2 linked regions of the Saccharomyces cerevisiae S288C genome follow. The main gene of each other region encodes a partner of the protein of the gene in region 2 in a complex. Each region holds a gene or a part of one and is shown on either strand. Other genes may lie near its edges. A codon is read from its position in the direction of its gene.

Region 1 (3,025 bases), on a different chromosome or scaffold from region 2:
GCACTGTTTCCACCATCTGAGTAGTCACGGGGTGACCTCCATTGACTCTACCAGTCCTTCTCAAGGCATTCTGCGTGGAGCCCTGAGGACGTCCGTGTGCGTTTACACCTGTAGCGGATAAGCGTTGTGCTGAGGGATGCTGATTACTTTGGAAGAATTTTTTCAGAAATATAACTCCAAACACAAGAATCAAAGTGATAAGCAATCTCGAATCCTCCATGGCCAAAAGAAAAAAGTTTGCGCGATCGTAGATTGTAATGCTTTATGGCGCCTTTTATAAGAAATAGGTTGATGAGTTGTCTATTCAATGCATCAATGACAGGCCCACCTCAGTTATATTAGATCGTTTAAAATGGCGCGACAGCTACCCGCACCGTATACAAAAAGGCATTAAACTAAATGGAATACTAGCAAATAAACAAGTGTTACTGTCCATTTTAACAATTACCACCTTAAAAGTTTACATAACTTATACACAAAAGGGCTGCCTCATCGTTTGATCAACCCCGAAATTCCATCTTGAATTTCTTCTTCTGGTTTTTTACCTTGTATATAAATTGCGGTATGCAATCTGTCTCTTTAATGGAATGCTCATCGAAATGCCTTCTCACCACGTTGGCCAGGTCTCTCTTATGTATCCTTTTATCGTGCTGCCCCTGTGTGTTCCTCTTGTATGAATAAGTCTTCGCGCCCAATTTGGAACCCAATAAGTATCCCTGCAGCGTCAGGTTGTCCGGTACGTCCAATTGAAAGTGGTCTTTATACCTTCTCAGGAACGCATCCGTATACTCTTCGAAATCCATTGGGTGACTCTTGGGGCGCAGATCAGGGTGGTTGTCGGTGATATGTGTCTCTATGAGATTCTTAATGTACTGCTGTTGTGCAGCTGTGAGTCTTTGCTTCCCATTGGTTCTCCCGCTGGAGGTAGGCCCGTTATTGTTATTGCTGTTATTGCTGTTATTATTATTATTATTATTGTTATTATTGTTATTATTGCTGCCATTGTTGTTGTTACAGCTGCCATTGTTGTTACTTGCGTAACCACCACCCTGAGTGGGTCTGCCTCTCGATTCCGTTTCAGCGTTTGTATTAACTGGCCTAGCCATTACTACTCAGTATATACCTATCCTTCGATTTGCTAAACTATAAAGGAATTGCATTATCACAATAGATACACAACCGCTTTTATATAATTTCTAAGTTAAAATCTGAAAATTTCACAGTATATAAAAAAGAGCGCTTTTTCCCTTCCGGAACGGCGTTGCCTTGCTAAAACACATGCATAGCAAGAAATGGTATACAGCAAGCCTACTTAATATATCTCATTACAGTGCTATGCTGCCACCTCAAAAGCGTTTCACTTGATAAATTTCTGAAAGTTTTCGTATACACGCAAAGCGGCTTGTGAGGCATCCAGTGTCTCGTCCCATGCTCGTGCGATTTGTGCATTCAAATACTGCAGCTGCTCTGTAAGGGCCTTTTGGTATGACGGATCTGGATTGTCAATAGGATAGTCGGTTTCAGTAAGTATGCAAGTTGAGGGCAAGCTCCTGACCAGGGCATCTCCCTCTTCTGGGTCCTTAAAATTAATCCATTTGGATAGGCTCACAAAAATACGATCCGGGGGAAACTTCTTGAGCCATTGGCCCAGAAGCGTTTCCTTGGAGCCTGTGTACGAATGTAAACATATCTTGACAGAGTGATACGTCAAGAGCTCTTCATTGCAGATATCGTTTAGTTTCCCGTGGCACTTTACATCGTGTATAGAGATGGGCTTGCTTGTGTGCCTTGCCAGTCGGCAAAATCGCCTGAATACTGTTTCTTGATGCGATAGTTTGACCTTCACTGTCGTAAGCCTTGCCTTCTCGTTCTGCATGTAGAAACCATTTGCAGGAAGTCTGAAGAGCTTATCAAGACCGATTTCTCCAATCACACTAACCAAAGTGTCGTTAAACTCTCTTTTTATATACTCTTCAAGATCTAGAGGTTCGGGAAGCACCTGAACCAAACTGTCGAACTGTTCTTCATTCTTATACTCCAGTACATCTTGATAGTGAGAAACCTTGTCGCGCCGACTTCCCACATAAAATAAGTGGCTGTACCAAGGATGCACACCAAATCCCACGCATATATCGTTTTTACTTGTGCTTCTGCCAGCCAATTTTTTCAAATTGTTCCAGTCATATGGGTTTGATGACATAACGCAACGCAACGTACCCTGGGACCCTCCATCATCACCGCAGAATGTGTTGTCTGGGTCGGTTATAACATGACAGTGGGCATCAACAAGTTTATTCATCTACTTCCTCAATGAACAGCGTAGTGTAACACCTAACCTCGATAGAGTTGCAATTGCCAGTCTTCTAAAAGGGCCCTTTCTTCCCTACGTAATCAATTGTCCTCCTGGGCTTCGCGCGGTGCCCCTGGAATTAATTAATCCCCTTCAGCACGCAGCAACGGCAACTCCAGGGAGCATCAAGTGGACGAGCAAACATTCAATAGTATTAAGTCTAAGACATAAGTTTTAAGTACCGTTGCTATTCCGCTTCATCTTTTATCACAATAAAACAGTACAAACGTTATTGCAGGTCCTGGCTTTATAATTTATTGCTTCCTATTCAAAAAACCACAGACTAATAACCACGGGCAACCTCAATGACTATTATCGTCGCTTCTTTATTCTTACCATATACCCCTCAATTCGAGGCTGATGTCACCAACTCGGATACTGCTAAGCTGGTTGAATCAAGTATGATCAAGGTAGACTGCAACAACCAGGAATTGAGCAACAACAAGCAAGAAAGAAGCAGTTCTGTAACTTCGGCAAGCTCTCATTATATTGGCTTACCTCAGGAGGCGCAAATTAACGGTGAACCCTTACAAAGGGCCAATGTGGGCTCTCCTGCTACGGGAGTTAACTATCATAATGAGATGGAAATGCTTTCCTCAGAGCAATTCCTGGAAGAGCTGACTGCCAATGCCACTCATGCAGCAAACTCTGGTATTCCGCCAGCTAATAACCCAG
Region 2 (7,537 bases):
TTCTTAGTCTTTTTCTTGGAAATCTTAGAGATTGCCTCATCACTATCATAAGGTTCCGCTTCGTCTTGAAGAGAGGCAGAGTTCATGGACGCCACCTTTCTTTTTTTTAAAGTTTGAGATAATGGCACATCGTCATCGTCATCAGAAGACAACTCATGATTAACTTTGGAAGCATCAGCAATAGTCATTTTTACGCGTTTCAAGTTTCGAGCTCTGCCCTCCCTTTAGATTTTTTTTATTTGCTGTTTTAATACTATAAGAATAGGACTCAGGTAATTAGAGTAACAGAGAAAACAAAAAAGAATATTGCGCTCGTGTTAGTGTTGAAACAAAAAAATACAGTTGTTCTTTACGTGCATCGATCATATAAGAAAAGGGAAAAAAGCCGTAAAGTAAAAAAATAAAGAGCTTTCCATGGCTGGTTTTTTTTCTTTTTTTTTTTTTTTTTTGAAGACTACAGCAGGTATTACCCGGAGTGAAAAAGGTTTCTCACACTAAAATTTACGTGTTCAAGACATTGAAGTTATGTATAAATATATATGAGCGTATATTATGTGTATGTCCGTTTCCATTCTGTTTAGATTTTATGGCTATAGTATTAAACTCCTATATATCAAAATGCGTCGTCGGCGGCTAGAGTTTGCAGGTTCCACTCGGTTTCGAAATTTGTCTTCAGGGCGCCAAGCTTGTTAATGATGCTGTTACAGGCGTTTTTCAAGGCATCCTTCGGGTCGTAGCCCTCGGTGGTCTGTATTCTCAGCTTGAAACGAGCGAAGAAGGGATGCTCAACCTTGTAAGCGGCAAACAGCACTTTTCTGTCGTTCAGAAGTTCTGCACGAATCAGGTTTCCCAACGTGTGGTCCTCCTTCTCAAACGTTATCACTACTGCGTTGGGGGCTTTGGTGTCGGGGTCAATCTTTAGCTTGGATTCCCCTTCACCCAGAAGGAACAGTTCGAATCTGTCTGGAGCATTCATGATGCAGTTGTGTCCAAATGTATCTGGTTTGGTGGCTACGTAGCTATCTATTTAGGCTGCACGGCTCAGTTCTCTCGCTCTTCTTTTAACGGACCTCTTGTGTGTGCCAAAGCAGTGAACCTAGAATTTTCGCGGACACTTCCACTTTATTAAGTCCGGGTAATGATAATATTGAGCTTGCAAGTTTTTTGAACTCGGATAGCAGCATTATCCATGACATGACACGGATCTACCGACGAGGCTTACCGACGAGGCTTACCGACGAGGCTTACCGTGATCCCTCTCCAGTAGTCTGTAAATTCTGTTTATAATTTAAAAAATCTATCTTCTACTCCAGTCTTGTAACTACTGTTGTTACGCGCTGCCCAGAGTGTGGCACACACTGCGGGGTTACCCGTGTAACGTAGAATAAACCAGTACGGGTAATGATATCGGATTTTCTAGTGATTTTTTTCCATTCGCAAAAAAGTCGCCTTCATTTTGCAGTTCTTCAGCAAACGTGATTTGCAAAACAACGGTTACTCCCCTTCCCTATTACATTTGTCTTCCCTTTTTCGCACCAGCATTGCTAATATTCGAGGCACCGTACCTAACTAATCAGCTCATTCACGTACCACATATTCTTTGTTACTTCCCTCCCTCCACAACAGGCTACGCTATTGACCGCTTTCAGTATAGTCTCTTTACCCTTTTGTTGTGTTCGTTTGAGGTTATTTGGAAAAGGACAAAATATCTAAGAAACAAGTTATACATTGTACAAAAATGTCACAGGTTTGGCATAATTCGAATTCGCAATCAAACGATGTGGCTACTTCAAATGACGCTACGGGTTCCAACGAAAGAAACGAAAAAGAACCGTCCCTCCAGGGAAATAAGCCCGGTTTTGTTCAACAGCAGCAACGGATTACTTTACCCTCGCTATCTGCCTTGAGTACTAAGGAGGAAGATAGAAGAGATTCCAATGGCCAACAGGCTCTAACTTCTCATGCTGCTCACATATTAGGTTATCCTCCCCCACATTCAAATGCTATGCCCTCAATTGCAACTGATTCAGCATTGAAACAGCCCCACGAGTATCACCCTCGCCCTAAATCTTCGTCCTCTTCTCCCTCTATAAACGCTTCGCTTATGAATGCTGGTCCAGCTCCCCTCCCCACAGTGGGAGCCGCCAGTTTTTCTTTGTCGAGATTTGACAATCCATTACCGATAAAAGCTCCTGTTCATACAGAGGAACCAAAAAGTTATAATGGTCTTCAGGAAGAAGAAAAGGCGACGCAACGGCCTCAAGATTGCAAGGAAGTTCCCGCTGGTGTGCAGCCTGCTGATGCCCCTGACCCTAGCAGCAACCATGCAGATGCTAACGATGACAATAATAACAACGAAAATTCTCACGATGAAGATGCTGACTACAGACCTCTAAACGTGAAGGATGCCCTATCTTACCTCGAACAGGTCAAATTTCAATTTAGTTCGCGTCCGGATATCTATAATTTATTTTTAGATATTATGAAGGACTTTAAATCTCAGGCAATAGACACACCGGGCGTTATTGAAAGAGTATCCACTTTGTTCAGAGGTTATCCAATTTTGATTCAAGGGTTCAATACTTTTCTACCCCAAGGCTATAGAATCGAATGCTCCTCTAATCCGGACGACCCCATTAGAGTTACTACACCAATGGGTACTACGACAGTAAACAATAACATCAGTCCATCTGGTAGAGGTACAACGGATGCACAGGAACTTGGTTCTTTTCCAGAAAGCGATGGAAATGGTGTTCAACAGCCCTCCAATGTGCCAATGGTGCCTTCGAGTGTGTATCAATCGGAACAAAACCAAGACCAACAACAATCTTTGCCTCTTTTAGCTACTTCTTCTGGTTTACCTTCAATTCAACAACCTGAAATGCCTGCACATCGCCAAATCCCACAAAGTCAATCTTTAGTGCCTCAAGAAGATGCTAAGAAAAACGTTGATGTCGAATTTAGTCAAGCCATAAGCTACGTTAATAAAATTAAAACTAGATTTGCCGACCAACCTGATATTTACAAGCATTTTCTGGAAATACTACAAACTTATCAGCGAGAGCAAAAGCCAATAAACGAAGTCTACGCACAAGTGACGCATCTTTTCCAAAATGCTCCTGATTTACTAGAAGATTTCAAGAAATTCTTGCCGGACTCTTCAGCTTCTGCCAATCAGCAGGTGCAACATGCTCAGCAACATGCTCAACAACAACATGAGGCCCAAATGCATGCACAGGCACAAGCTCAGGCTCAGGCACAGGCACAGGTGGAACAACAGAAGCAGCAACAGCAATTCTTGTATCCAGCTTCGGGCTATTACGGCCATCCTTCTAACCGAGGTATTCCACAGCAAAACTTGCCTCCTATAGGAAGCTTCTCGCCTCCAACAAACGGTTCGACCGTACATGAAGCCTATCAGGATCAACAGCACATGCAACCACCCCACTTCATGCCCTTACCATCGATCGTTCAACACGGGCCAAATATGGTACATCAAGGGATAGCGAATGAAAATCCACCTCTATCAGATCTAAGAACGTCTCTCACTGAACAGTACGCTCCTTCTAGTATACAACATCAGCAGCAGCACCCGCAAAGTATTAGTCCTATAGCAAATACGCAGTATGGTGATATCCCTGTTAGACCGGAAATTGATTTAGATCCTAGCATTGTGCCTGTGGTCCCTGAACCCACTGAGCCCATCGAAAACAATATATCGCTTAATGAGGAAGTCACTTTCTTCGAAAAGGCCAAGAGGTATATCGGCAATAAACATTTATACACTGAGTTTTTGAAAATTTTAAATTTGTACTCTCAAGATATACTTGATCTTGACGATTTAGTGGAAAAGGTAGATTTCTACTTGGGTTCCAATAAAGAACTATTTACGTGGTTCAAAAACTTTGTTGGCTACCAAGAAAAAACCAAATGTATCGAGAATATTGTTCATGAAAAACATAGATTGGATTTAGATTTATGTGAGGCATTTGGCCCAAGTTACAAGAGGCTACCAAAAAGTGACACTTTCATGCCATGCTCAGGTAGGGATGATATGTGTTGGGAAGTCTTGAACGATGAATGGGTTGGACATCCTGTATGGGCTTCCGAAGATTCGGGATTTATTGCTCATCGTAAAAACCAGTATGAGGAAACACTATTCAAGATCGAAGAGGAAAGACATGAGTATGATTTTTACATTGAATCAAATTTAAGAACTATTCAATGTTTGGAAACAATTGTAAATAAGATCGAGAACATGACTGAGAATGAAAAAGCCAATTTTAAACTGCCTCCAGGTCTTGGCCATACTTCAATGACTATTTATAAAAAAGTGATAAGGAAAGTTTATGATAAGGAAAGGGGGTTCGAGATTATTGATGCTTTGCATGAGCACCCTGCAGTGACAGCCCCAGTCGTTCTGAAAAGGTTAAAGCAAAAAGACGAAGAATGGAGAAGAGCTCAACGTGAATGGAATAAAGTTTGGAGGGAGTTAGAACAGAAGGTTTTTTTCAAGTCATTAGATCATTTAGGCTTAACATTTAAACAGGCTGACAAGAAATTATTAACTACAAAGCAGTTGATATCAGAGATTAGCAGCATCAAAGTTGATCAAACAAACAAAAAAATTCACTGGTTAACTCCTAAACCAAAGAGCCAGTTAGATTTTGATTTCCCTGATAAAAACATTTTCTATGATATCTTGTGTTTGGCTGACACTTTTATAACCCATACCACAGCCTATTCTAATCCCGATAAAGAAAGATTGAAAGATTTACTAAAATACTTCATCTCTTTGTTTTTTTCTATTTCTTTCGAAAAAATCGAAGAATCGTTGTACTCCCATAAGCAAAACGTGTCAGAATCTAGCGGATCTGACGATGGCAGTTCTATTGCATCAAGGAAGAGGCCCTATCAACAAGAAATGAGTTTACTTGATATTTTACACAGGAGCAGATATCAAAAGCTAAAGCGTTCTAATGATGAAGATGGCAAAGTTCCCCAGCTCTCTGAACCACCCGAAGAAGAACCTAATACCATTGAGGAGGAAGAGCTCATCGATGAAGAAGCTAAAAATCCGTGGCTAACTGGGAATTTAGTGGAGGAAGCAAACTCTCAGGGTATTATCCAAAATCGCAGTATTTTTAATCTATTCGCTAATACGAATATTTACATATTTTTCCGTCATTGGACAACGATTTATGAGCGGCTTTTGGAAATTAAGCAAATGAATGAAAGGGTCACAAAGGAAATCAACACAAGGTCGACAGTTACTTTTGCCAAAGATCTAGATTTATTATCGAGTCAACTTTCCGAAATGGGACTAGATTTTGTTGGTGAAGACGCGTACAAACAGGTTTTAAGACTGAGTAGAAGGTTGATTAATGGGGATCTTGAACATCAGTGGTTTGAAGAGAGTTTGCGGCAAGCTTACAATAACAAAGCGTTTAAACTCTATACAATTGATAAAGTCACCCAATCGTTGGTAAAGCATGCTCATACCTTGATGACTGACGCTAAAACTGCGGAAATAATGGCTTTGTTCGTTAAAGATAGAAATGCCTCCACCACGAGTGCGAAGGACCAAATTATCTATCGCTTGCAGGTGCGCTCACATATGTCCAACACAGAAAATATGTTTAGAATAGAGTTTGATAAAAGAACTCTGCATGTTTCCATTCAATATATTGCACTTGATGATTTGACACTAAAGGAACCAAAGGCAGACGAAGATAAATGGAAATATTATGTAACATCGTATGCTCTGCCACATCCAACAGAAGGCATTCCGCACGAGAAACTGAAGATACCATTTTTGGAAAGGCTCATCGAATTTGGACAAGATATTGATGGAACAGAGGTAGATGAGGAGTTTTCCCCCGAAGGCATCTCTGTATCGACATTGAAAATTAAGATCCAGCCTATAACCTACCAACTGCATATTGAAAACGGGTCTTACGATGTTTTTACCCGTAAGGCTACTAACAAATATCCTACTATTGCTAATGATAATACTCAAAAAGGAATGGTTTCTCAGAAGAAGGAGTTGATATCAAAATTTCTAGACTGTGCAGTTGGTTTGAGAAATAATTTAGATGAGGCTCAAAAATTAAGTATGCAAAAAAAATGGGAGAACCTAAAAGACAGCATAGCAAAGACGAGTGCTGGAAACCAGGGAATAGAGAGTGAAACCGAAAAAGGTAAAATTACGAAACAGGAGCAGTCGGATAATTTGGACAGCTCTACTGCAAGTGTACTGCCTGCATCCATTACTACTGTACCACAAGATGATAATATAGAAACGACTGGGAATACTGAATCTTCAGACAAGGGGGCTAAGATTCAATAAGTAGTTTTAACTAGATTTAGAACAAAAATCTTTAGTACGACAGGGTCTTTCTTCTGATGTGTACCTTTAATTAATGTCAACGATATAACATTGTAATTTTAAAATTCTAAGTGTTTTTGAAGCTTTTTAAGACACATCGATCTTTCCATAAAGGAAGAAGTGATAACATGCAGTGGTTATATTTGTGTACTCATACACTGGTGCATGAATCTTTTTACACGTCATTAGCATAGTATGTAATCGAAAGGACACTATTTATAAGGGACAGTTTATACATACATATACTTGATATTCCCATGAATGAGTATTCTATTCCATATCAACATCCACTCCAAAATCGTCTAGTGATTCACCCCAGTCGTTGTACCACTTCTCACGAGAAGCATGTCTGCCATTTTGAGGAAGTCTGGTCCTTATTAGCTGTTCGCCACTTTCATTACGCATCTCTATTGTTGAGCTGCCATGATTGAAGACGGTGTTTGTTTTACCTCCATCTGGTGGCCAGGGAAGTGAAAGGATGTGGTCTTCCAATGAGGAGTTAGCCTCATATTTTGAAATACCGTTTTTTGGAAAATTGTTCCCATCTCCCGTAGGAACACCATATGGCCATAACCATAAATGAATGGGACCAAGGTACAGTAATGCATTAGTGTACAAATCAAAATCGTAAGGGAAATTTACAAGTTCATCAAAACGTGGCCTTTTTTTTGTCAAGTGTTCCTCAGCATCCTTTTTATTTTGAAACGACCTCGACTCTGGATATATTCTCCAAGTATTATCAATTAATTTCTGAGTTAATCTTCCGGAGTTGAACAAAGATTCTAGCCGATCCATATCCCACGACTCAATTTGAGATCTTCCATTCAAGATTTGATTGAATAAACATCGTAGGAAAAGAATTGTTATCGTTAGTAGGACAAAAGAATTTAAAGGACTCGATATTGTTAAGAAAATCAGTTCTGATTTTTTGAAGAAGTAGCCAGGCAAGTGCCTTTGTTGCCAAATAAAATATATCCGCTTAGCTTGTATGCAAAATAAAACACTAGTCGTCACTATGATCCAAAATAAGAATCTAAGGAAATGCGGATAGTTTGCAAAGCCGACGCAATTCATCGTCCACGGACAATGATGATCCATCATTAGGACGCATTGATTGCAGGTTTTACAATGATGTGAACGTTCTGGCTT

Evidence for each region.
Region 1: the proteins of SIN3 (region 2) and SAP30 are in contact, whole or in part, in a cryo-EM structure (PDB 8HPO), measured with the Saccharomyces cerevisiae proteins. Residues at the interface, in NP_014639.1 of Saccharomyces cerevisiae: Leu662 (codon at 3,722), Glu665 (codon at 3,731), Phe669 (codon at 3,743), Lys673 (codon at 3,755), Thr683 (codon at 3,785), Glu684 (codon at 3,788), Leu686 (codon at 3,794), Lys687 (codon at 3,797), Ile688 (codon at 3,800), Leu689 (codon at 3,803), Asn690 (codon at 3,806), Leu691 (codon at 3,809), Tyr692 (codon at 3,812), Ser693 (codon at 3,815), Gln694 (codon at 3,818), Ile696 (codon at 3,824), Leu697 (codon at 3,827), Asp698 (codon at 3,830), Leu699 (codon at 3,833), Asp701 (codon at 3,839), Glu704 (codon at 3,848), Lys705 (codon at 3,851), Asp707 (codon at 3,857), Phe708 (codon at 3,860), Tyr709 (codon at 3,863), Phe720 (codon at 3,896), Phe723 (codon at 3,905), Val724 (codon at 3,908), Cys732 (codon at 3,932), Glu734 (codon at 3,938); in NP_013990.1 of Saccharomyces cerevisiae: Gln76 (codon at 881), Tyr79 (codon at 872), Ile80 (codon at 869), Leu83 (codon at 860), Ile84 (codon at 857), His87 (codon at 848), Ile88 (codon at 845), His92 (codon at 833), Lys98 (codon at 815), Ser99 (codon at 812), His100 (codon at 809), Pro101 (codon at 806), Met102 (codon at 803), Glu106 (codon at 791), Tyr107 (codon at 788), Thr108 (codon at 785), Phe111 (codon at 776), Arg114 (codon at 767), Tyr115 (codon at 764), His118 (codon at 755), Phe119 (codon at 752), Leu129 (codon at 722), Gln130 (codon at 719), Tyr132 (codon at 713), Leu133 (codon at 710), Gly135 (codon at 704), Ser136 (codon at 701), Lys137 (codon at 698), Leu138 (codon at 695), Arg160 (codon at 629).

What each region holds. Positions count from the first base shown.
Region 1 is NC_001145.3:793,000-796,024, reverse strand, and holds SAP30 (Sap30p), read right to left. Parts: upstream 1,107-3,025; coding exon 501-1,106; downstream 1-500. Other genes in the region: CUE1 (Cue1p), read right to left, coding at 1-220; YMR262W (putative endodeoxyribonuclease), read right to left, coding at 1,358-2,299; TPS3 (trehalose 6-phosphate synthase/phosphatase complex subunit), read left to right, coding at 2,656-3,025. UniProt on the Saccharomyces cerevisiae protein: Component of the RPD3C(L) histone deacetylase complex (HDAC) responsible for the deacetylation of lysine residues on the N-terminal part of the core histones (H2A, H2B, H3 and H4).
Region 2 is NC_001147.6:315,200-322,736, forward strand, and holds SIN3 (transcriptional regulator SIN3), read left to right. Parts: upstream 1-1,738; coding exon 1,739-6,349; downstream 6,350-7,537. Other genes in the region: TOP1 (DNA topoisomerase 1), read right to left, coding at 1-188; DNA-directed RNA polymerase II core subunit RPB11, read right to left, coding at 614-976; palmitoyltransferase PFA4, read right to left, coding at 6,659-7,537. UniProt on the Saccharomyces cerevisiae protein: Catalytic component of the RPD3 histone deacetylase complexes RPD3C(L) and RPD3C(S) responsible for the deacetylation of lysine residues on the N-terminal part of the core histones (H2A, H2B, H3 and H4).